3 linked regions of the Lonchura striata genome follow. The protein of the gene in region 1 interacts with the protein of each later gene in a pairwise test. Links are inferred from orthologs where the notes say so. Each region holds a gene or a part of one and is shown in the gene's direction. Other genes may lie near its edges.

What was found. The genes of interacting proteins can lie anywhere in the genome.
Region 2: the proteins of SPG21 (region 1) and ATPAF2 interact in binary tests that used the Homo sapiens proteins (3 or more experiments, as listed by UniProt). The two-hybrid records come from large-scale screens. The link is inferred for Lonchura striata from reciprocal best matches to the Homo sapiens genes SPG21 and ATPAF2.
Region 3: the proteins of SPG21 (region 1) and EFHC2 interact in binary tests that used the Homo sapiens proteins (3 or more experiments, as listed by UniProt). The two-hybrid records come from large-scale screens. The link is inferred for Lonchura striata from reciprocal best matches to the Homo sapiens genes SPG21 and EFHC2.

The regions. Positions count from the first base shown.
Region 1 is NC_134613.1:21,912,119-21,920,496, reverse strand, and holds the start of SPG21 (maspardin), read left to right. Parts: upstream 1-5,153; 5' UTR 5,154-5,245; intron 5,246-8,032; 5' UTR 8,033-8,063; coding exon 8,064-8,126; intron 8,127-8,378. Other genes in the region: CLPX (ATP-dependent clpX-like chaperone, mitochondrial), read right to left, coding at 342-502, 3,993-4,062. UniProt on the Homo sapiens protein: May play a role as a negative regulatory factor in CD4-dependent T-cell activation.
Region 2 is NC_134618.1:15,651,124-15,658,487, reverse strand, and holds the start of ATPAF2 (ATP synthase mitochondrial F1 complex assembly factor 2), read left to right. Parts: upstream 1-3,883; 5' UTR 3,884-3,976; coding exon 3,977-4,106; intron 4,107-5,284; coding exon 5,285-5,329; intron 5,330-5,660; coding exon 5,661-5,806; intron 5,807-6,226; coding exon 6,227-6,324; intron 6,325-7,166; coding exon 7,167-7,247; intron 7,248-7,364. Other genes in the region: GID4 (glucose-induced degradation protein 4 homolog), read right to left, coding at 709-810, 1,447-1,554, 2,261-2,320, 3,417-3,629. UniProt on the Homo sapiens protein: Plays a role in the assembly of the F1 component of the mitochondrial ATP synthase (ATPase).
Region 3 is NC_134604.1:110,733,615-110,741,479, reverse strand, and holds the start of EFHC2 (EF-hand domain-containing family member C2), read left to right. Parts: upstream 1-4,384; coding exon 4,385-4,426; intron 4,427-7,865. UniProt on the Homo sapiens protein: Microtubule inner protein (MIP) part of the dynein-decorated doublet microtubules (DMTs) in cilia axoneme, which is required for motile cilia beating.

The DNA.
Region 1 (8,378 bases):
TACTTCAACTTGGAAGCACCAGCCTTCTGAAGGAGAATAGCTCTGATTACTACTCTTTCCTGAAATCCTGTTCTTGATTTATGACATTCAATAAAGTTTTCAAGTTTACACTGAACAAAAAGAGCTATAAAACTGGGAAAAGCATTGTGGGATGTTTACAAGCTTTATCTCCTAAAAAATTCCCAATACAGTTTATTTTTTCTTCACTGCCAGTTGCATCAATTTGAAGGACTAGAAATGTCAGGAGTTGGCCAAAATTTCAAGATTAATTTTAAGCAAAAAATAGAAATGCAAGGAACATTTTACATAAACTACTGAAACCCCCAGTGTGTGGAAATTACCTTGCTTCCATCTCCAGAACCATCCTTGCTTGCACCATCCTTTGAAGCAAAATATGCTGGTGTTTCTGAAAAGTTTCTAAGAGGAATTCGTTTTAGAGAACAAGTTTCAAAAGTCCCAAGTTTTCCTAAAACAGGGATGCGTGTACGACCACAAGTAATACCTAAAAAAAAAAAAAAAAAAAAAAAAAAAGAAAAAAATGTAAATACTAAAATACTCCTGTTTTAATGCCATTGCCACCAAATCTCAGAACTGATTTACTTTAAGTGCAGCTTAAAGATTTTGGCAACAGAATTCAGCTCTGAACATACAGATTTTAATTATCCAAAATAGATGATCTTTACCACCTTAATGTTTACCTTGTTGAAAGTTACTTTGGTTGTCCAAAAAAGACCCCAAAATAATTTCAGGTCCTCTAACATCAGACAACTGAGAGTCCTGTTGTGGCATGAAATAGGGAACATCTCAGTTATGAAACTGATCCTCAGAATGATAACCACAATCGACTTACAGCTTCTATTGTGAAATAATTCAACTCCCCGAGAGAAACTTTTGAAGAGTCTCTTTATTATGCAAAGATTAGGTGTTTCAGACTCAATGACTGCACGTCTGGATTTGGCTTTCACTTGGGAACTCCATTAAAAATTAGTTTCCAGGAATTTGAGGCACCTCTTGGCACCAAGAATTGTGCTGAGGAAAACTGAGCAGCCGTGTCCCATTTGGCACTCACCGACGGCCGGCACCGGCAAGCTCAGCGTAATCTTAACTTTGCTAAAATATTTTATTGCCAATATGAAAAAAACCCTCACTGAGAAACTAAACAGCCTTTTCCTCCTCTTGCAACACGGGCAGGATTGCATTTCATGGCAGGGCATGACGTGAGCCAACCTATGTTGTGCTTGTGATTTCAACATCAACAACAGCCTGGAATCTGTATCTCATCTCTCGCATTTCAAGTGGCAAATTTCTCACTTGGCTCGCTGGTTTTGATCAGGACTCTGTGCTCTACTGACAGCAGAGCTATAGAGCAACAATGGCAACTACAGACTTGCTGACAACACATAGTTATAAGGATAAGAGAATCCTATGGAAAAATCCAGAAACTCTTCAAAAATAAAAAAGAAAAATTAGGAATGGCAAGAGAAGCACAGCTCATTTGCTCTGAAAGAAGAAGCAACAACCAAGAGATGGGAGCTTAGCTGAAAGAGGATACTCTGAAAATTCACCTTGTTACTATAATAAGAAGGGAGAAAAATAAAGAAGAAGGAACTTAATTTACCAGGAAAACTCTTACAGGCCTCTTCAAAGTCACAATAAAGATGACAGTCAAATGAGATTTGAAGCTGGTTTATTAACTTACATGCTGCTTAAGATTCCTTAACCTGAAGATGACTTGTACTATTTTTAACATGACTAAAAATTAACCTTTTAAAAATCTCTTTACAGCATTGCTTCTGTCTGTAAACGTGAGGGAGGAATAACAATCAATGAGCTTCCCCATTTTAAATTCCTCTGCTGAGTGCCATTGCAACACATTTTAGATTACAGAGGGTAAGCTATAAAAACAACACAGAAAACTTGAAAACACTGGCTGGCTCTCAGAAGCAGTTGTATTTTTTAACTGAATGTGCAGAGAACTCTGACAACTCTGTGTGCCAAGTGCACTTGTCAGTAAAGAACAAGCTTTGGTGAGTGTTTACAATGCAATAGTTGTTCTGAGCAGCTTAGAAACTGAGAAAAGACCCCTTAAAAATGAAACAATGACCACCTCTCCTCCCTGGAACAAAACCTAGAGTCACACAAGTAACACGGGGGGATTTGACCTGTGGAGAAAGGCTGAAGCACTAACACAAAAGCTGAAACATTTCAGTCCTCATTTTAATTCAGAATGCTCTTGTGAGACAGAAAATGCACTGAGAACTGTATGGGATGAACTATGAAACCTTACACAGCACTGACTACTGAGCTGTGAAGCCTAAACCAGGGGAAAAACATCCTAATACTGCTACGTCAGCTGGTGGCTAAGCGTGTGCTTATTGTGAGGTCTGAGAGGTGTTTTTGGACAAAATATCATGGTATAATTCCACAGTGAAGCAATAAGAAAGTTATCACCACTACTTCCTTGAGTCAATAAGCCCAGAGGGAGATTTCCAAGGGAAATCAACATTCCAGCTCAATGCCTGGCAGCTGCTGCTGATGGATCCAGACTCTGATAAATGTTCCAGTATGTAACAGCTGGCAGGATGTGCTTACACACCTGGCAGGGTGGCTCAGGTGATGTTTTTTTTTCGGAGCACCAACTTCAAAAGATTTGTCCCTGGCAGCCATGGAACCAATCCAGGCGCATTAAGAAATGATGGGAAGCTCCTTAACACCTTATTAACCTTTAATTGATGCTTGACAGAATAAATACTGACTTTTGGGGCAAGCCTGGGGGATCCTGGAGGTATCTACTGCTCAGGAAAGTGACAGGGAAATTGTGACAAACTGTAACTGTCCCACATAACACTCGATTGATTTCACTGATCTGTGCACTCTGAACTCTCTCAAGTTTGCAGCAACCAGCAACAGCAAACAAAGCACCTGGCAGAAGACAAGATTTAATACAAATTTAATATGAAAGACACACTAAAGTAAGATACATTTATTTTTAAACAACTTTCATTGAAAGCTGGTGGTTAAATAATTGTATAGCTCTATCTACATTTTATTCTTATTTGCTCTTTTACATAATCCTTTTGAATCTTAGTTCTGACCAAAAAACCCCTCAAACTTAACAAAAGATAATTCTGTAATGAATTTCAAACAGTGCTTGCTTTGAAGCTGATTGTTTCAGAGGGATTGCGTAGGGCCAGACAGGCTGGATTTGAAAGTACAGGTTAGAACATTTCAGCACGGCTGGTATTCGAGATATAAATGTAAAGTCACCTACAAAGAGTTAACTCGCCTCTTAAGGGCAGTAAACGATCTCTGACTCACCAGGCTATTGCTGAGGGTAGAGTGATTGAAAATATTGTTGCAAAAGTGGCAACAAAGATGTTTTTCAGCACTATTTGGGGGTGCCCTGCTTTCCACCCAAAGCAGCACATTGTTTGTCTGCTCTCAGCACCCCCAAGAATACAAAAAAAAGGGTAAACAAGGAAAAACAGTAAAAAAATAACCTCCCACAGCCCTCAACTTCCAGCGAGCAGCTGGCACAGTCTTGTCCTTCTACCAAGTTGAAAATAATTAATTTTGCTAACTAAACGCATTTTTATGAGAAATATTTCAAGTTTAGGCTACCACACAGGTAGGCTTTTAATTAAGTAAGGCAATTAAGCCATTTTTAAGCCCATGAAACACATTTACTCCCACTGCAGAGTAACACACACTGGCCGACAGCTGCCGAGCATCACTTCTGTAGAAATAAACCCTATTTTCGCATCCCACTTCCCCACAGCGAGGGCGAATTCTCCGATACTTCACAGCGCGTAAGGCTGCCCTCACCCCCACCCGCACCGCACCAGCAACCGGCAAAAAGGAGGGAAAAAGGGGGGAAAGGCCGCCGTGCCCGGCGCTGTCACAGCGCGATAAGGGCAGCGGCGGGGCCGGGCTCCCTCAGGGCCGAGCGCGCCGGGCCCGCTGAGGGAAGGCGGCGGCCGGAGCGCGGTTACCTCTGCGGGCGGAGGGCAGCGTGGAGCCGAACAGGCGGGCGGCGGCGGCGCAGCTGTGGCAGGCGGACATGGTGCAGCGGCCGCGGGCCCGGCCGGCTCCCCCCGCCGCCGACAAGGCCTCGCTGGCGACGGTGCGGCCCCGCCCGCCCCGGTAACGCCTCCGTGACGGCACCGCGCGTCACCGAGGGACTGCAGATCCCAGCGGGCATCGCGCCGCGGCGCGCCCCGCGGGAACGCACTCGCCTCGCGGGGTGGCATGGGAAGTGTAGTCCCAACAGTGAATGGGTGCGTGGGCGCCGCGTGGCATTGCGGGAAATGTAGTCTGCGATCGGCAGCGCCCCCCCCGGCTCTCTCGGTCTGTCCTGGGCACACCGTCCAGGTATGTTTATTCCCGGTGGTTCCGCCCTTTAATTCCTCTTTCCAAATACGATACGAGAGGAATATTTCCCTTAGATCACAGAAATGTGTTTTTTTTAAAGCCTTTCGTGAAAAGATCAGGCTGAGACAGGAGCAAAAAAACTTCAGGCAAACTGAAGCGATTTTGAGAGCGAATGGAAAATGATGCCGTGTGTTGTGGGGCGGTCTTCAATCAGGGAAGAGTATTGTAAAAATACATATTATCTAATTAAGTGTATTCTTTAGGCACGCCTTTGATATATATATAGATATATATAGGTATATATAAGGCATATACACACACCTTATATATACCTATAACTGCAGACAACTGTAGGTCTGTTTCTTTCAGCTCACCTTCAACTCCTATTTATTAGATAGCAATTAAACGGGGCTACTTGACTCCAGCTGTTCATTAGAGGAATGACTCGGTATCACCTGTCGCTCTTCTCAATTAACCTGAGCTGCCCCGCAGCGAACAGATTGCCGGGGAAGCTGCGGCCCATCCCTGGAAGTGTTCAAGAACAGGTTAGACGGGGCTCGGAGCAACGTGATCTGGTAGTCCCTGATCGTGGGCGGGGGGTTGGAACAAAACGACTCTTAAAAACTCCCTTCCAAGGCGAATCATTCCCTGAGTTAACGCGGCTTCCGCCTCGGTAGCGATGGCGGCGGAGCCGCTTCCGCCCCGCCCCGGTCACGTGGGCGGCACGGCGCAGCACCCGGAAGCGGCGGCCGGCGGGAGCTCCCGGCGGGGCGGGACAGCGGCGGCGGCCGCTGGCAGCTCCCGGTGCCGCTGGCAGCTCCCGGTGCCGCTGCTGCTCCCGGTGCCGCTCCTCGTCCCCGGGCCCGGCCAGCCGGTGAGCGCCCCGCAGCCATGGGAGAGGCGGGGGTCCCCGGGCCTGCCGCCGAGCTTAGCGCCCCGCACCGAGCAGGGAGCTCTGAGGGGCCGCGTGGGCGCTGAGGCGAGCGGGGCGGCCCCTGAGGGAGGGAGGGAGGGATGGGCGAGGGTCGGGACGCGGCCCCGCAGGGAGCCCGAAGCCCCCGGGGCCCCGTTTGCTGGGGGGTCTCTCAGGGGAAGGGGCTGCCTCAGCCTGTGCTGAGGGTGTGGGGGTTTGTCCCCTTCTCCCTGCAAAGCTGGGGAGCCAAACGTGGTTGAGGAGGGGGAAGGAGCAGGGGCAGGGTTGGTGGGAGCAGCGCTGGGGCAGAGGGGAAGGTGCTGCCGCCGCATCAGTTAGCCATAAATCTTCTTATGGTCTTGTAAAATCAATAATGAATGGAGTATGTCATTAGTGTAGTGAAATTACTCACAGAGAGACTATTACCAAATGCTCTGAGCACGTCCATAGGTGATTCTTCCAGAGGAATTGTTTTTAAAAGCTTGAAGTTCTTCAGGTTGTTTGGTTTTACGAAAAATGAAACTTGTGTGTTTAGAGGCTGATCATGACCAACATCAGGCTCTTTGTGGTCTGAGTTACCTTCAGTAGCTGAATTCCTGTTTTGAGTTCATGGTTCAGCTTCTCTGTGGCTGGAAATCACATGTAGCTGTTGTTAATGTCAGTTATTTGTGTGTACAAATTTAATGCTGCATTTCTGTGCAAAGGAGAAAAAAAAAACCATTTCAGTAAGAGAACAAACAAGTTTCTTCTTGTGTGGAAAGAAAGGCAGCCCTTAGGAGTGGTGATCTCAGATGCTCCTTCAGAAGAAAGCTGGTGGCAATCAGCCCTGGTGTTAGTGGCCAGTGGCTCACTTCCATGAGTGGTAACAAGTGAACAGGGAAGTTCAAAATTTGCGTTTTGGATGGACTCTAAACTCGCTGTGGTACCAGACAAGGTACAGGGCCAGCACAAAATCCACCTGCACGCTGCCTTTTCCTTATCAGCTGTAATGGCACAGCTCTGTGCTCCCTGCCCCCAGCCATTCGCTCAAGGGTGCTGCAAGACTGAGGTGGCACAAGCAGCGAGGTGATCCCGGCAGGAAGAGGCTGCCAACCCTCTGCAGCAGGAAGAGTCTCCCTCTCCAGCGTGCGGGGCCCTGACCAGGACTTCTGCTTCTTGGTCCAGGGCAAGAGAATGTGTGTTTTAAGGCATTTCCTGCAATTTGTCTGCCATAATTTTGTCACACTGTCGTTTGCTGAAGAGCTTTTAGGAGGCCATTGATGTGTGGTTACAGAAAGGAATTAGTGTGAGCCGTGGTTTCCTCGCTCCAATGGCTGCAGGCCCCCAGCCCAGGAAAGCATCCTTGCACCTGCTCTGCTTTGCAGGTTATTGGAATAAATTCATTTTACCCTTGCTGCAATTTTACCTGCTGCCAGACTTTGATAGTGAGCAGAACAGTTGGTGCAAGCAGCAAAGTGAAACCACACAAATTTGAAATAACAGCCACAGCTGAACAACCCATCTCAAACCTTTGTACATGGGAGGTGTAGCACGTGCTCTGTGGAAGGTGTGTGTTTGTCCTGTAGTTTAGAAAGTATTTTCCCTTTTAAAATTAATATTTTCTTCACTTGGAAGATGGCAAATGTAGACTGAAAGATGAGGAAATTGTAACTCACTGATAATCCAGCTGTAACCCCATAAACTGGTTAAGCTGTTCACCAGCAGCTCTCCTGCAGGGACAAATGAATTGGAGTGACTCACAGAACACAACGAGGTCTTATTTTATGAAGAATTAAGAAACAAAACCTATTGATTTAGACTTGGCAACTGTTAAATAACAAGCGCAAAAGTTTCTTTTTGTCTTTTCACGGTGCTGTGTGTGAATTCATGAAAATAATCTCCCAAGGCAGCTGGCTTTCAGGGTGAAGCTATTGAGTCTGCAAACTTCAGAAGTGTTTGATGACATTTGTTGTATAAATGGAAGCTAATGGTTTCTTGCTGCTTAAAAAAAAAACCCAAACAATTAAATCTTGGAGCTACGTCAGTGTTTATTACTAATTAATGGAGTATTATAAGATACTCATTATGTATGCTTGGACATTCTGGCTGGGGAATGAATTAGTAGCATTCCTATGTGGACCCAACTCAGAATCAATTTGTGCTGTATTAATTGGTGTGCTTCAAGTATTTCTTCATTGGTAACTCCTGACAAGAGCCTGCTTCCATGTGGATAGAATTAAAATTTCAAGGATTTTCTGTAAATTAAGCCTCGGATCAGGTGATGTTCCTGATGTGCTCTGGGACTCGTTTGGATCAGTTATACTCAGATGGAAAAACGAGACCTGAATACTGAGTGGGTTCATGAAATAATGTCTGTGGTGTGAATTCCTGAGTGAATTGTATGAATATTTATTAGCTATAAACTTGGAGTGCCTTATCAATTTAAAAGAAACCAAGAACATGCTTTAGGTTTTTTAGCCACTTACAGCCTGAAACACAATTGACTTTCTCTGCAGCTGTCACACGGGAATGCTTCTACAGAAACATCATCATTTCATAATTAGGTTGGTGCAGTAAGGCAGTCAGGTGACTGCCTCCTGGGAGAATAATTGCATGGTTTGAGCAAAAGTGAACTTGGTGTGAGTCAGAGGTAGTGCCATCAACTGATAAGAGCAAATCAGCCTGCACTGCTTTATTTACATAGCACAGCTTTTGAGAGTGGCCCACGGTGAAACTGTGCTATTGATTTCTCATTCTCTCTCTTTTCAGGCTGACCCAAACTGAGATTTTTCTAAACATCATGGGAGAGATTAAAGTCTCTCCTGACTATAACTGGTTCAGAAGCACAGTTCCTCTTAAAAAGGTATGTACATCTTGTAGGTGAAATATCCTCTCATGTTTTAGGGGGAGAGACTCAATGTGATTAATGCAGAGCAGTTGTGGCTGTGCTGCTGAGCTGCTTTATCTCCTGAACTGTTGTCCCACATGTCATGTGAGTGCATGAAAGCACACCCTTCATCTTCACATGCTTCTTGGAGGTCACTTCTGCCTGTGCTGGGGAGCAGAGGCTCCCAGCTGTGAGCTGTGGCAGCAGTACCTGCCATCCCAGTGCCAG
Region 2 (7,364 bases), on another chromosome or scaffold:
AGAGCCTGAGAATGAAGAGAAGGCTCCAGGGAGTTCTCACTGCAGCTTTTCAACACCTATGGGAGCTTATGGGAGAACTGGAGGGAAACTTTCCAGCCAAGGACATGGAGTGACAGGAAGAGAGGGAAAGGCTACCCACTGCCAGAGGGCAGGGTTAGATGGGATATTGGAAAAGACATTTTTCCCTGTGAAGGTGGGGAGGCCCTGGCACACAGTACCCAGAAAAACTGTGGGTACCCCATGATCCCTGGAACTGTCCAAGGAAAGGACTTGGAGCAACCTGGGATAATGGGATGTGTCCCTGCCATAGGCAGGAGGATGGAACAAGATGAGCTTTAAGGTTCCTTCCAACCCAAAGCAGTCTATGGTGACTCTGTGATGATCTCAGCTGAAGAATGGAGCTGCAGACTGGCCAGAACATCAAACACAGGCCCCACACAGGGACTGGAGGCATCAATTCTCTCATCCTCTGCAGGATCACCAAGCAAGATTTTCCTGTTGTGTTTTTAGCCATGACTGCAGTCCTTAAGGACACAATTAGCTGGCTAGACAAGAGTCATACTGGAACTTGCAAGTACAGTGGGTTTTGGGGTTGGCAGGGTGAGATCTTCTATTAAACCATCATAGCTGGAAAAGCTCTGAGACATCTCAAGTTTCTGTCAGTGCCTTGCAAGCAGCTCAGCAGAGAAGGAGACAGGCAGGGTTTACCTTCCATCTCATGAAGACATAGTCCCCATTTTTTAGATCTTCATAATCAAAGTCATCAGAGTTAAATGTTTTTGCATACTGGTAAAAAGCTTGGAACTTTCCCTGAAACAAAACAAACAACAACAAAAAAACAGCTCAGGATGTTTATTCCAGGAATAGAACTTCTAGTACCAGCTGCTGTTTAGGAGGGAAATCTACTGACACTCACAGCAATATCCAGCCTGGCTGAAGAAGCTCCTGTACTTCCAGAGGAGGATATTTTGACAGAAATACAACAAACATCAAAGCTTGGCAAACAACAGCCAAGGTCAAGGGCGGGGGGGTGATCAGGTGGGCTGCTGTGGCCTCACAACACAGCAACAGGTACACCCTGCCCTGAGCAGGGACACAGGTACCAACTACTCTGCCTGTGCTTGTGGGATCCCTTTCCCCTTTTCCATTCCATTTTGTAATAAATCTCCAAAACTAATTACTGTGTTCTCTTAGGGGATCAAGAGACAGGGATTGCTCCTGCTTCCTCCCAACCCCGAGGCAAACAAGTAGAAAACAAAACATCCCTTCCCTCATCACAGATCACAGTTTGCTGAAGAGACCTTTATAAATAAAGATCCCAGGGGAAAAGGAAGGAGACAGCAAAAAGGTCTCCAGGCCTTTCTGCCAGCTCTTGCATGGGCACACACTGCCCCTCTCCCCCAGACCAGCAGCCCAGAGCCACCCTGTGCCCCCAGATTTATTTACCCAGTGTTTACGATCCACGTCTTCGTCGGCATCCCACTTGCGCGTTAGGAACGGGTGTTTCTTACTGATTATCTCGCCCTCGAAGAACGTGGTGAGGGTTGGGTACTCCTGGCAGAGGGGAGACAAAGGTGGGGTCACAATAGTCACCTACAGGCACAAACTCAAGAGCAGACAAAGCTCCATGCACTCAGCAAAAAGCATCTCGCAGGGAGATTGGGCCATCTGAGGCTGCTGCTCCCATCCCTCATCCTGCCCCACACCTCTCCAAGCTGACTCTTCCACGCTCTTATTCCAGCCTTTCTCTGCCTCTCTCTTCATTTTATGAAGCCAGGAGCCACATCAGAGCTGGGCTGCAGGGAAGGATTTGGAACATAAGCAGCTGAGGGGGCTGCGAGGTGGGGGTCATGCTCTGCTCCCAGGGAACAAGGGACAGGACAAGAAGAAATGTCCTTAAATTGCACTAAGGGAGGTTTAGATTGGATATTAAAAACAATTTAAAAGAGTGGTTAAACATTGGAACAGGCTGCCCAGGGAAGTGGTGGACCTGGCTGGGTCCTGGGTCAGTGGTTGGACTCAATGATTTCAGAGGGCTTTTCCAACTGTAAATGATTCCATGGAGCTCCCAGCTGGATGATCACCTGTGGCATTTACAGCCAGCACCACTCCCCAGCTGATCCCCTTTGATCAAATCTACACCATGCTCACACCCTCCGCTTCCTATTTCTGGCAGCAGCTTCTCTCACTCCACCAGGAAAAAAAAAAAAAAAAGCCTTCACAGAGCCCCTTTTTGTGCTGTTTTGCAGTTAACACTCACCTCTGTAAGGCCTTTAATCTTCAAGTATCCACAGAGATAGGAGTTTTCCATATCCACATGCTGGAAAAGAGTGCAAAGTCCAACCATAAAAATAGGCATGAAGGTGCATGCTTGACCCAAAGCAGTTTCTAACCCTTCCAAAGATAATTTCAGCTCCAGCTGGTACCCACTGCCCAATATTCACAGCCCTTTTCCATGATGGGAACCACCTGGAAAGATCATTTGCAGGTGCCCAGCTCACCTCTGGCAGCCTCCACATCCCAGGCCTGCTCCCAAGAACTCTGCAGCAGGAAGCAAATCCCCTTTCCAGCAGGAAGGGATCTGATTCACAGTATTCTCCAAGAAAAAGCATCCCTGGAAGAATCACCCACACCCCCGGCATTTTACAAGCCTTTCTCCTAAATTTAAAGCTTTTATGCCACCTGCATTTTGAGTTATCAGGCTGCATCTCTCTGCCTGTGCTGTGCAGAAATTAGGCAAGGATTTGCCTGCTCCTTTAAAAGCAGGGATTTTCCAAGGGGTTTTTTCTTTTCTCTGAGATCTAGAGTGAGTTATTCAGGGAAGTACAAACCTCCACCCGTGAGAAGATGGATCTTCTCCACCTGTGATCAAAGGACAGCAACGTTTCCCCGTGCTCAGCACAGGGAGAGCAGGCAGCCCCCTTCTCTTCAGCTGACACATGCAAATCAGCCACGTTTTCGACAAAAAAAGCAGCGTTTTTAAACACAAAACCACAACCAGCCCCTGCGAGGTGGCAGCGTGCAGCAGGGCACAAATCCCACCAGAAACGTGGAGAAATGACCATAAAAAGCTTAGAATCATCACAGAACCACTGAGGTCGGAAAAGAGCTGAGCTCATCCCGTGACTGATTCACCAGCACTAAGTGCCACGTCCAGTCTTTCCTCCAACACCTCCAGGGATGGTGATTCCACCACATCATTAAGTAGGATATTCTGATGTTTAGAGTGATATTTTCTGCGACAAATTCCTTCTAATATAGAGGGGTAGGGTGATGCGGGTGCTGTCACAAGGGGCTGGCAGGGTGGGAATGGCCACCGCGACCTGAGGCGAGCCGGGGTTCCCCCGTCTCGCCTCAGGCCGCGGTGGCCATTCCCACCCTGCCAAAACCAGGCTCGCCACGCCGTTCCCCCTCACCTGCATGACGACCTCCACCTCGTAAGCGTTGCCTTTGCTGCGCTGCTGCCCGCGGAACTTGGCCCCGCTGTAAAGAAGCGAAGTGGCCACTCCAGGCTGCGCCGTGTTGATGGGGGGTGGCGGTACTAAGCTGCTGGCGGCCGCTCCGGTAGCAGGGGAGGAGGATGAACCTCCCGCCCCTCCACTGCGGTGCCTCTCGCTCCGAACCGGCATCTCGGGAGGGTCCCCGGGCGCCAGCGTGGCCGGGGCCGGGGTTGCGGCCGGGGGGACGCCGCCCGCTCCGCTCCGCTCCCTCACGCCGCCGCCGCCGCCGGGTCGGGGCCTCCTGGCAGCGCCTCGGCGCGCGTGCCTGAGGGGCGTCCCTTAGCTCTGATTGGCTGCTGGCAACGACGCTCGGGCGTTGATTGGTTGCGGTGCCACCCGGCGCTGCTGGGAAATGTAGTTTCTTTTTAAATGGAGGCGGCGCGGATTGGTTGCGGCCGGCGGCAAGATGGCGGCGCCCAGGGAGCGGCGCTGAGCGCGGTGCGGACGGGGTGGTCGTGGTGGTGTCGTCTGGCGCGATGTGGCGCGGCTGTCGCCGGCTGTGGTGGGCTCGTTCCCAGCCCGCTCGGCTCCCCAGAACTCCTCCTGCAGATGCTGGGAGCGGCCCGGTGGGGTCATGTGGGCGCCGGGCCTATGCCCCGCCGACAGGTGAGGGAGCCGCGTTTGGGGAGGGGGATCCTCCCCCGGGGACCCTCATGCCGGGGTCACCCAGGGCAGGGCGGGGATTAGCACGGCCCCGGTGCTGGAGTTGTCCCCGGCGCCCTTTCCCTGGTGTTAGCCTGTCCTTGGAGCGGGCAGGGTTCGCTGGCAGCACGGCCGAGCCCTCGCTGAACCAGTTTGTTACACTTGTTTTTGTGTTTTGTTGGGTTTTAGGGATTTTGAGGGAATGGGACTCAGACCAGGGGGTTCAGGTATGTTCTGGCTCACGTATCCCATCACGTGGGTTTAAAAACAATAAAATTAATCTCATTTTGTCGGAGGTGAGGCTGCAGCGTCGCGGTGACTCATGACAAAGTTTTGGGAGTCACTGATGAGCCTCGGGGCTCCTCTGGGGTACACACACTTTAATCTGTTTTTAGAACTGTGCCTGAGGCCCCAAAGCTCACAGGTCGCCGAGCCTGAGCAAATCCTTCTATTTCCTCAGTGGGAATGTGCTGGTTTTAGCCTGGAATAGCAGACCCGCGGCCTGGCCTGTTTGCTGTGTCCTTCACCAGACAGGTTTATGGGTTTGGGATTTACAGCCTGCTTGCTGTTGTCAGGGGAATGGCTCGTGGATTCTTCCTGCCTTGTGGGAGGGGTGTGAGCCTTTGGGATGGGTGTAATCCTGCTCTCACGGCGGTAGGAGTGCTGGTAGCAAAGGATGCTGCTCCTAAAATGAGACCTGAAGTTTCCTCAGGCTCATCTTGTTGGTGGAACAGGTATATTCCTGAGCTGGACTGAGATGTTTGGGCTGCAGTGTCCTTTGAGGGTTAATTTATCCAGTGTAACTGTAATTGTAGAATCTGGAAAGGTTGACCCTGAAGCAGAACTGAGGAGAGGTGGGACAGGCCTGCTTGGGAAACCAGCCCTGCCACACTCTGAGGCAGCTGAGCCCCCAGCCTGGCAGGATTGGAGCTGGTTCTCGTTGCTCCTGGTGCCTCCCTGCTGAGGGGAGCTCACTGCAGCTCACAGCTTGGAAACTGTGGAAGAAGGGCTGGATTTTTGTTACCACGTCGACAGCAGCAAAGCTCTGTCTGTTCTGAGCTGTGATGGGGAGCAGGGGAAGGCATTGAACATTCTCTGTTTGCCCTCTGAATGTTCTCTTTGCCTTCTGTTTCTGTCCCTAGAGAGGAAGAGGTTCTACCAGAACGTGAGCATCTCGCAGGGGGAAGGTGAGTATGGCCGATGGGATGGGATGGGGGAGCTGATCCCTAGGAGAGGTGTCATCACCCCACCCCACATCAGCACCTGCAGCCCAAGCTGTGTCAGTGGCAGGTTTGTCACCAGCTGCTGTGCCCCCTCCTCATCTACAGCAAAGCTGCATGGTGGGAACCAGCTTCCAGGACCAAGTGTATCCAAGTGATGGTGGGAAACCTGAGTGTTCCTGGTCTCTTGCTCCTCTCAGCTCTATAACTTTGAATCTGCTCCTCCTGTGGGGTTGTCTGTTGTTCCTTAGTGCCTGCTCCTCTTTGATTCCCCAGGATTTCTACTCTGATTCCCCAGGAGGCTTTGAAATAAACCTGGACCACCGAAAGCTGAAAACGCCCCAGGCCAAACTCTTCACTGTCCCCAGCGAGGCCTTGGCCATTGCAGTGGCAACAGAGTGGGATTCCCAGAAAGACACCATCAAGTTCTACACAATGCACCTGGTGAGCATGGCAGGGTGGAGTGCTGAGACCTCCAAATGCAGAATGTGGAGGCAGCAGGTTGTCCTGCTCCTAATGAGCAGAAAGGACTTTCTCTGGGCTGGCCAGGTGCCTGTCTAGAGGGAATCTGTGTCACTTAGGGGAACTTGAGAAGGGGCTGGACAGTGTTATTTGGAATAGTTAGGGGCAGGAGGAAACTGAGCTCTGGAGCAATCCTTGGCCCCTCTTCCCTGCTGCTTAATAAGCTGCTTCCAGGGATTCTGAAAGATTTGAGAAGACACTTATTACATTAGCCATTTTGTAACCCTGCACCCCTCAGATCATTTGCCACAGATCCCTCTGCTTCTTCTTGGCATTGTACCATGGAAGTTGCTGCTTTTTCAAGCCTGGAATAACAGCAGTTTCAACTGCTTTTATCCCCAGACCACTCTGTGCAACACGGCGCTGGACAATCCCACGCAGCGAAACAAAACGCAGCTGATCCGAGCAGCTGTGAAGTTCCTGGAGACAGACACAGTCTGGTAACGAGATGGGGACCCAGCTGGATTTTGGAAAGAGGGTTGGGTAAAGTGAGGGAAGACATCTGCACTCACCCAGTCATGGCATGGCTCTGTGCTGGTTTTTGCCTGAGGGTTTGAATGTGCAAACCTGGTTGCAGTCTGTGCACCCAAAGAAGGAGAATTGGATTTGGTCCTCTGTTGAACTCCGTTTTGGACACCTCCCTGCTGGGCAAGGGTGAGATCAGTGGGAAATGAAGATCTTGGAGAAAAGAAAACACCTTTGAAAGGCTTGTGGGGCTCTGTCAGCCAGTCCCTGGTATTCCTGTGCCAGTACAGATAGCTGAGACTACTTGTAGCAGTCCCAAAATGCCCTTCATTCCTTAAAGTCCCCATGAGCTGTAGCATCAAGCCTGTTCATGCCCAGGCTCCTCCACTGGCAGCTGCACAGTTCCTGTGGAGAGAGGAACAGGCTTCCCCCACCTGCCCCTGTGGCTTTGGTCAGACTGGGTGAGCAGGGAATGCTGAGCTGAGCCACTGGGCAAGGAGAAGCAGGAGTGGCCCCACAGAGAGTTGCAGTGGGGTTTGTACCCTCTAACTTCAGTCTGGCTTGGGGCTGCCTGCAATTTTCAGTTGGGTGGTTCACCGCTCTGTTTTGTAGTAAGACAGAATTGTCCTTCCTGGAATAACAAAAAAACACTGAATTTAGGGCAGGGTTGGGGGATTATTCCCTGTCACTGCTGCCTGGGTGGACGGCAGGTCCCTGTTCCACTTGCTGTGGGTCTGGTGGGGTCAGTGGCCTTTCCAGAGGTGTGTCCTAGCCTGGGAGTGACCATCCAGTGTGGTTTTGTTCTGTGATGTCCCAGCTATCGTGTGGAGGAGCCTCCAGCCTTGGCAGAACTACAGAAGAATGAATGGGATCCTGTGATCACCTGGGCTGAGAAAAGGTGAGAGCTCAAAAGGTTCCTGACTGCTTTAGGCCCTGCCCTGCTCAGCCCAGGAGCTCAGAAGTCCCAGGGCCACAAGCTCCATGAGCCCTGGGTCTTTCCCCTGGGCTTTACTAA
Region 3 (7,865 bases), on another chromosome or scaffold:
GACAGAAGCAGAGACATGTTTTCACAGACACTAAATTATGCTGATTTTAGTTAAACCTTCCTGGTTTCCTCTTATTTCTAAATTTTCCTATTCTAAACTGACAGAACTTGGTCAGACCTGGCTTTCCACGCAGACAAATGGACTAAGCCTGGAGCCTGCAGCATTTGGTCAGAGTGAAAGCCAATATATTTTATTTTTAATTATGGCTCTTTGGAAAGTTTTGGGTAGCTCAATTTACAATTTGTACTCTCTTACTCATTTCAAGTTTGCCAGTAAAACTCAATCCCAACACAAAGAGAATATAATAGCTGTATTTTTATCACAAAGACAGCATTTTCCATGTTTTCCCCAGCTTTAGCTCCCCTCCTGCTTTCTCTCTTCTTTGAACTGTACAACTAATGCAGCCCTATGTACATCCACCACTATCATCTGCAGAGTAGTCAGAACACATGGTTAATTTACTACTGCCAACTGCTTACTGTTGTCATTAACAATCTTCATTTAATAAAAAGCTTTTATCAAAATTGGTTTTCCTGGAGTACTTTAATTTTTCCTAGAAAAGGCATTAAAATTAATTTGTTTTCACTCAGTCTGTACTACTGAGTGAATACAGCAAGGAACAAAAAAGATAAACATGTGAGAGAAGGTAATGTAGAAAGAAGCAGCTGTATTCCAAAGTAGATTATAGTTTGGGTTTGTTTTTTTTTCTCATTTGAAAGAAAACAAAATGATTGAAGACTGGTAGAAAACATCAAATTGCAGTGCTGGTTTGGTGCACAAGGAAGATGCTCCCCTTCTCCACATCCCCTGTGGCTTCTTTACTGGGGGAGGCAGAGGTGCAGAAAGATTTGACTTGAGGGTTTAGGGACAATTCACAGGATTTTCTGCTGGAAATGCAGCAGACTCTACTAATACTCTGCATTTCACTGACTTTCCCCCAGCAGGGCTGCAGTTTCCTTTGCATGTTTTTAACATGCATGTTTTTCACACAGTACTCTGCCTGTACTGCCTGAAACCTTGGAGTAACAGTTTATTGTTGATATTAGAGGGAATATTAAGACATTTCAACCACCCTGTTACACAATGAGCAAGAAAATTGGAGATACCAATTCTTCCCTTCCCTTCCCTTCCCTTCCCTTCCCTTCCCTTCCCTTCCCTTCCCTTCCCTTCCCTTCCCTTCCCTTCCCTTCCCTTCCCTTCCCTTCCCTTCCCTTCCCTTCCCTTCCCTTCCCTTCCCTTCCCTTCCCTTCCCTTCCCTTCCCTTCCCTTCCCTTCCCTTCCCTTCCCTTCCCTTCCCTTCCCTTCCCTTCCCTTCCCTTCTTCCTAACCAAAACAACAAAACAACCCCAAAATAATTTCCCCATAAATGACAGTTTTGGAAATCAGAATATTTTGGGCGAAATTCCAATTCAGAGAGTGAATTCTGCACAAATGCTCCCTGGGGACTGGATGGGGAGTCTCCCAGGCTTGCTCAGACTGAGCACATCTCCCATGCTGTTCCAGGAGCCTCTGTTTGGGGGAGGAGGGATGACACATTATGGGAATTTCATGGTCTGATGCATCATAGAGTATGAAATATGGCAGGGGAGATCCACTCCATCCAGGAGAATAAGGACATTCAACAGATGAAGTACAGCTCCTCTGAGACAGGGTGATGGCAGATCACAACTGGAATATTTCAGTTTAAGCTATTTTATCCATAAAGTAATTTTTCTGTAAAAAGCAGTCTAATTAAAAAAAACCAAAACATATTAATGAACATCTTTATGTAAAATGGAGGAACATAACATAGCATGGTTGCTGTTCTCTGGAACTGGCTTTGGAAGTGTTCTGGAATGCATCTTCCCTTATTAACAAGGAAAATGTTACTTCCATTAAAGAAAAACAACCCTTCCCCCACCAGCCATCCGTGAGAAACTCTCACTGTATTTTCTGTTTGAAATTTAAATTTTTGCGTAATACCGCCCACTGTATGAAATGAATGTGATTAAAATGATGGTTTCTCTAATTTTCAATTAAAATATATTTTAAATGTTTACCTTTCCACACTAAATGCAAATGCAGATGTGTGGTACAGCGCTGGGAAACCAGAAGGTGGAAACCCACTGACCCAGTTTCCCTATCCCAGTGGACTAAAATGCAAAAAAAACCAAATAAAAAGCTGTAAAAAGCTCCCACCTCCCCCTCCTCCTAGCCTGACAGGGCCCCAGAGTAAAATGTGCTGTGTAAAAGTCACAAAATGAAAAACATTAAAAATTAATTGGTGCAGAAAATGGCAGATGTGGTGGGATTTGTCCCATCTGTGACCCAAGTTCCAGAGGTATTTGGGGGGCACCATGTCCAGAGAAGTCACTGCTCCTCACCAGGTGAGGTAAATTGCCACAGAACCAGTGAGGCTGGAAAAGATCTCTGAGGTTGAGTCTGACTTCTGATCAGACAACCCTGTGTCACCTAGACAGTGGCTCTGAGTGCCACATCCAGGATCACCCCTGTGTCACCCAGACAGTGGCTCTGAGTGACACATCCAGGATCACACCATGTCACCCAGAACATGGCACTGAGTGCCACGTCCAGCCTTTCCTTACACGCTTCCAGGGACAGTACCTCTGCCACCTCCTTGGGCAGCCCATCCCGATGTCTTATCACCCTTTCCATGAAAAAATTCCTTCTGATGTCCAGCCTCACCCTTCCTGGCACTGTTTAGACCATGTTCTCTCCTCCTGTCACTTGTTTCCTGGGAGAGGAGCCTGACCCCCATCTAGCCACAGCCTCCTGTCAGGGAGCTGTAGGGAGCCATAAGGTCATCCTTTTCTCTAAATTTCTCATGATGAAAATGGCCATGAATCCTGAAAAATTGAAGAAATTTATTTAGTGCATGCTAGTGTTGGATTTAATATGCATTTAGCATTCGGTAAATAATGATGCACAAGAAATATTATATAAATATATGTTATATATATTTTATCTATTATGATACATTTATATAGGATGTGTTTTATATTATAATAAAATTATATAAATTATATATACATCTATTTAGATCTATTTCTATTTCTATTACATATTAATTAATTATATACATAAAAATAAGAATGGATTTAATTCCACTTTGCTGCTGCTGACTCTGGGCCCACCCTGAGGCACCCTGAACTTGGTGGGGCCGGGGGTCCTGTGGAGGAGAGCCGGGACCTGCCTGCATCCCACCGAGACATATCCCGGGATGAGGGCTTGGGATGAGGGCTCGGGATGAGAGTTTGGGATGAGGATTCAGGATGAGGGTTTGGGATGGAGCCATTCGGGATGAGGGTTTGGGATGAGGGTTTGGGATGAGGGTTTGGGATGAGGGTTCAGGATGATGATCAGTTCGGGATGAGTGTTCAGGATGAGGGTTTAGGATGAAGATCAGTTCGGGATGATCAGTTTGGGATGATCAGTTCAGGATGAGGGTTCAAGACGATGATCAGTTTGGGATGATCAGTTTGGGATGATCAGTTCGGGATGATCAGTTTGGGATGAGGGTTTGGGATGATGATCAGTTCCGGATGATCAGTTCAGGATGAGGGTTCAGAATGATGATCAGTTCGGGATGATCAGTTTGGGATGAGGGTTCAGGACGATGATCAGTTCAGGATGATCAGTTCGAGATGAGGGTTCGGGATGATGATCAGTTTGGGATGATCAGTTCGGGACGATCAGTTCAGGATGAGGGTTCAGGATGATGATCAGTTCGGGATGATCAGTTCGGGATGAGGGTTTGGGACGATGATCAGTTCAGGATGAGGGTTCAGGACGATGATCAGTTCAGGATGAGGGTTCAGGATGAGGGTTCGGGATGATGATCAGTTTGGGATGATCAGTTTGGGATGATCAGTTCAGGATGAGGGTTCAGGATGATGATCAGTTCGGGATGATCAGTTCGGGATGAGGGTTTGGGACGATGATCAGTTCAGGATGATCAGTTTGGGATGAGGGTTCGGGATGATGATCAGTTCGGGATGATCTGTTCGGGATGAGGGTTTGGGATGAGGGTTCAGGATGATGATCAGTTCGGGATGATGATCAGTTCGGGATGATCAGCTCAGGACGAGGGTTCAGGATGAGGGTTCGGGATGATGATCAGTTCGGGATGAGGATCAGTTCGGGATGAGGGTTCGGGATGATGATCAGTTCGGGATGATGATCAGTTCGGGATGATCAGCTCAGGACGAGGGTTCGGGATGAGAGTTCAGGATGATGATCAGTTCGGGATGATCAGCTCAGGACGAGGGTTCGGGATGAGGGTTCAGGACGAGCCCCGCGCCTGGCCCCGCCCCGTGACGTCACGGCGTCATGACGTCACGTGGCGCGGTGCCGGCGCAGCGGCGGCGCCGGTTGGGGGGCGGCCATGGCGCTGCCGCTGCTGCCCGGCTTCTGCCGCCGCCGCAGCGTGAGTGCCCGCCCTCCTGCCGCCTCCCGCCGCCTCCCGCCGCCTCCCGCCCTGCCCCGGGGCTGCGGGGGCCGTGCCAGGCGCGGCGGGGCCGTTCCTGCCGGCCCCGCGGGTGGGGGCGAGGCGCCCCTGGGTGCGCTGAGCCCCCCGGCCCCGGCGGCGCTGAGGCCAAACTGCGCCGGGCAGGTTTAGGCTGGACAACAGGAGGAGTTTCTGAACAGAAAGGCTGATTAGACATTGGGTGGGCTGCCCAGGGAGGTGGTGCAGTCACCGTCCCTGCAGGTGTTTAAGGAGAGGCTGGATGTGGCACTCAGGGCCATGGTCTGGGTGGCACATTGGTGATCCTGGATGTGTCTCTAAGTGATACAGGGGTGATCCTGGATGTGGCACTCAGTGCCACGGTCTGGGGGGCACATTGGTGATCCTGGATGTGTCTCTAAGTGATACAGGGGTGATCCTGGATGTGTCACTCAGGGCCATGGTCTGGGTGGCACATTGGTGATCCTGGATGTGTCTCTAAGTGATACAGGGGTGATCCTGGATGTGGCACTCAGTGCCACGGTCTGGGTGGCACATTGGTGATCCTGGACATGGCACTCAGTGCCACTCTCTGGGTAACACAGGGGTGGTCCTGGATGTGGCAATGTGGCACTCAGGGCCATGGTAAAAGTGACACCATGGTGGTCGGTCACAGGTTGGACTCGATGATCTCAGAGATCTTTTCCAGCCTCACTGATTCTGTGATCTGGCAACTGCTTTGGGGCAGTTTGAGCTCTTGGTGCAGCTCCTACAGAACAAAACAGGGAGAGACAGATCCCCTCTATGTAAGTAAGCATAAAGGCTTTGCCAGAGAGGGCAGTGACAGCAGTGCTGATGTGCTGTTTCAAGGTTGCCAATACTATTAATGTAGGCTAAATAGACAAGATGGTTATTTTATCACAGCAAACAAAACAAAAGGTTGACATCCCTACTTCACAATTTTTCATCAAGGATAGCTTGGAATTCACTGAACACGCTCTAATGTGAAGCAGTGCAGGGGATAAGGCAGAATTCATGCACAGCACTCTAGCTGGTGCCTTCAGGAGGGAAATGAAACAGTGTATTTTAACATTCTTAATAATGTTAAAATACCTGAAAGGGAATCTGTAATTTTCACACTATAAATATGTTGTGGTCAAGGCTGCCTGTACAACACGTCAATACCCCATTGCTGGAAGTGTTCAAGGTCAGTTTGAGTGCAGCTCTGAGCAACCTGAATGTTGTCTGTTCACAACCCCCAAACCTGAATCTTCCTGTACCTGTCCCTCGTGACTGCATTTTGGGCCCTTTCCTTTATCCATCTGTTGTCTTCTCCCAGGCACTAAGAGCAGGCCAGAATCACAGAATGGTTTGGGCTGGAAGAGACCTTTAAAAGTCATCAAGTCCATGAGCAGGACACCTTCTGCTAGATCAGGTTACTTAGGGCAACCTGACCTTGAATGTTTCCAGGAATAGGGCATCCACCACCTCACTGGGCAACCTGTCCCAGTGTTTCACCACTCTCATTGTTAAAAATGTCCCCCTTATACCTAGTTTATACCATCAGGTCTCTTTTCACTTAAAGCTATAACCCCTTGTCCGTTTGCAACAGCCTCTGCTAAAAATCTCTCCCTTTTATTCTTATACTCTCCCTTAAAGAAAGGCCACAATAAGGTCTCCCTGGATGCTTCTCTTCTCTGGGCTGCATAACCCCAACTCTCAGCCTGCCCTTATAGGAGAGGTGCTCTAGCCCCTGCTAATTTTTCTGGAGCGCCTCTGGACCTGCTGCAATAGATCCATACCTTTCCTGTACTGCTCCACACTACTGGTGTTGATGCAGCTTGTTTTGTGATGTTTTTAGAATGGCACCAGAGTTGCTGACAACAATGTCTTAGGGTGTTCCTCCTTTGCCAGTACCACTTAACCCCTGAACATCCTGAGACCTCTGCAGCAAGCAGGAGGTGATAAAAAAATTGGAAATCAGTCACATGAATTTGACTGGCACAGTGTGTAGCATTTGCATTTATTTCTATCACTTAGCTGAAGCAGCCAGGAGACTTTATCAGCAGCTTAGAATAGTTCAGAAGTGCCACACTTCATCCTGATACAGGGTTTGAGCAGGACATCCAGGGTGCAGCTGCTGTTCTCAAGGTGGGAATTACAGATGGATACTGGGTACAGAACTGTGCTGCCACTACTGCCATAGCTCCCTGTGGGCCTGAGTTAAAAACGTGGCTTCTGAGAGCTCACTGAGGGCTCTCCCATCACTCCAGCTGCTGTGCTGGAAGATCTCCAGCTGTGTTTGGTTCAGCTGGAATGTGCAGCTCCCTGAGGAGTTTGCTGTGACTGTATTCCAGAGCAAGATGGAGTGAGCATGAGGCAGCGTTCCCTGAGGACTGCAGGGGCTGAGTTTGCAAAGCCAAGAGCTGCAGTCAGAGAACCCTGACCTTTATATTAGTCACTATTGAGTGGATCCTCAGTATTTTCAGGCTTACTGCACAGAAAATGTCCAGTTTTGTTCAGCAGATCCACAGCCTGTTCAGTTGAGCTGCATTAACACAGCAGATACATTCAAGCTCTTTCCCTGCTCTCTGAAATCTTTCTGTTAGAAGTCATTCCATGTGGAGGTAGCATGATGTTCTGTCACTATTTTAGGCTGGATGTGGTCTGAGTTCATTAGCTGAAATTTCCCAAATGTGATTTTTCCCTTTTGTGATCCTCAATTATAACGAATCTGTTTCTTAAAATGTCTATTTTTGTTGTTGTTCTGTTTTTTGTTTCTATTTTTTAAGAAATAACTGTACAGATTTTGAGAAAAGATTGTTTTGTCTATGGATCTCAGTGCTTTTTGGAAGAAGAGGATAAGTACTTATGTGATTAGGAAACTAAAATAGTCTTTTGTCAAACCCTAAAAAGTTACAGGAATGACTCAAAAAATTCTTAAGAGAATTGAAGCTGTTTTATAATGTATTTTTCATATCAAATTTTAAAGATGTTGTGATTTTAGCCCTAAATTCTGCATATTCCAGCAGGGTTATTCCTGGATTACTTTGATGAACACTTTACCATACTTTTGCTGTTAAACCCCCAAAACGTATGAACAGCAAATGCTTCTAGAAGTTTTGAGGACTTGAAAAGCTTTTCTTTGTCAGTGCTCACTCTGAACCATGGCATTTTATATCACAGCTCAAAAAGCTGTGCTGATATAAAAAAAATTAATTTTGGGCATCATTCCTGCAAATGTGACTGGTTAAATTCCTGGCTTGAGCAATGCTTTATGGTAGGGGGACCCATGAGCTCCTAGTTTGCATACAAGCATTTCCTTTTATTGATTTTCTCTTTTATGCAGTAGCTCTTTTTCTTGAGTTATATCTTGAGGAGAAATTTTCTGTTTCCTTTGTATTATTCTTTAAATTATGAT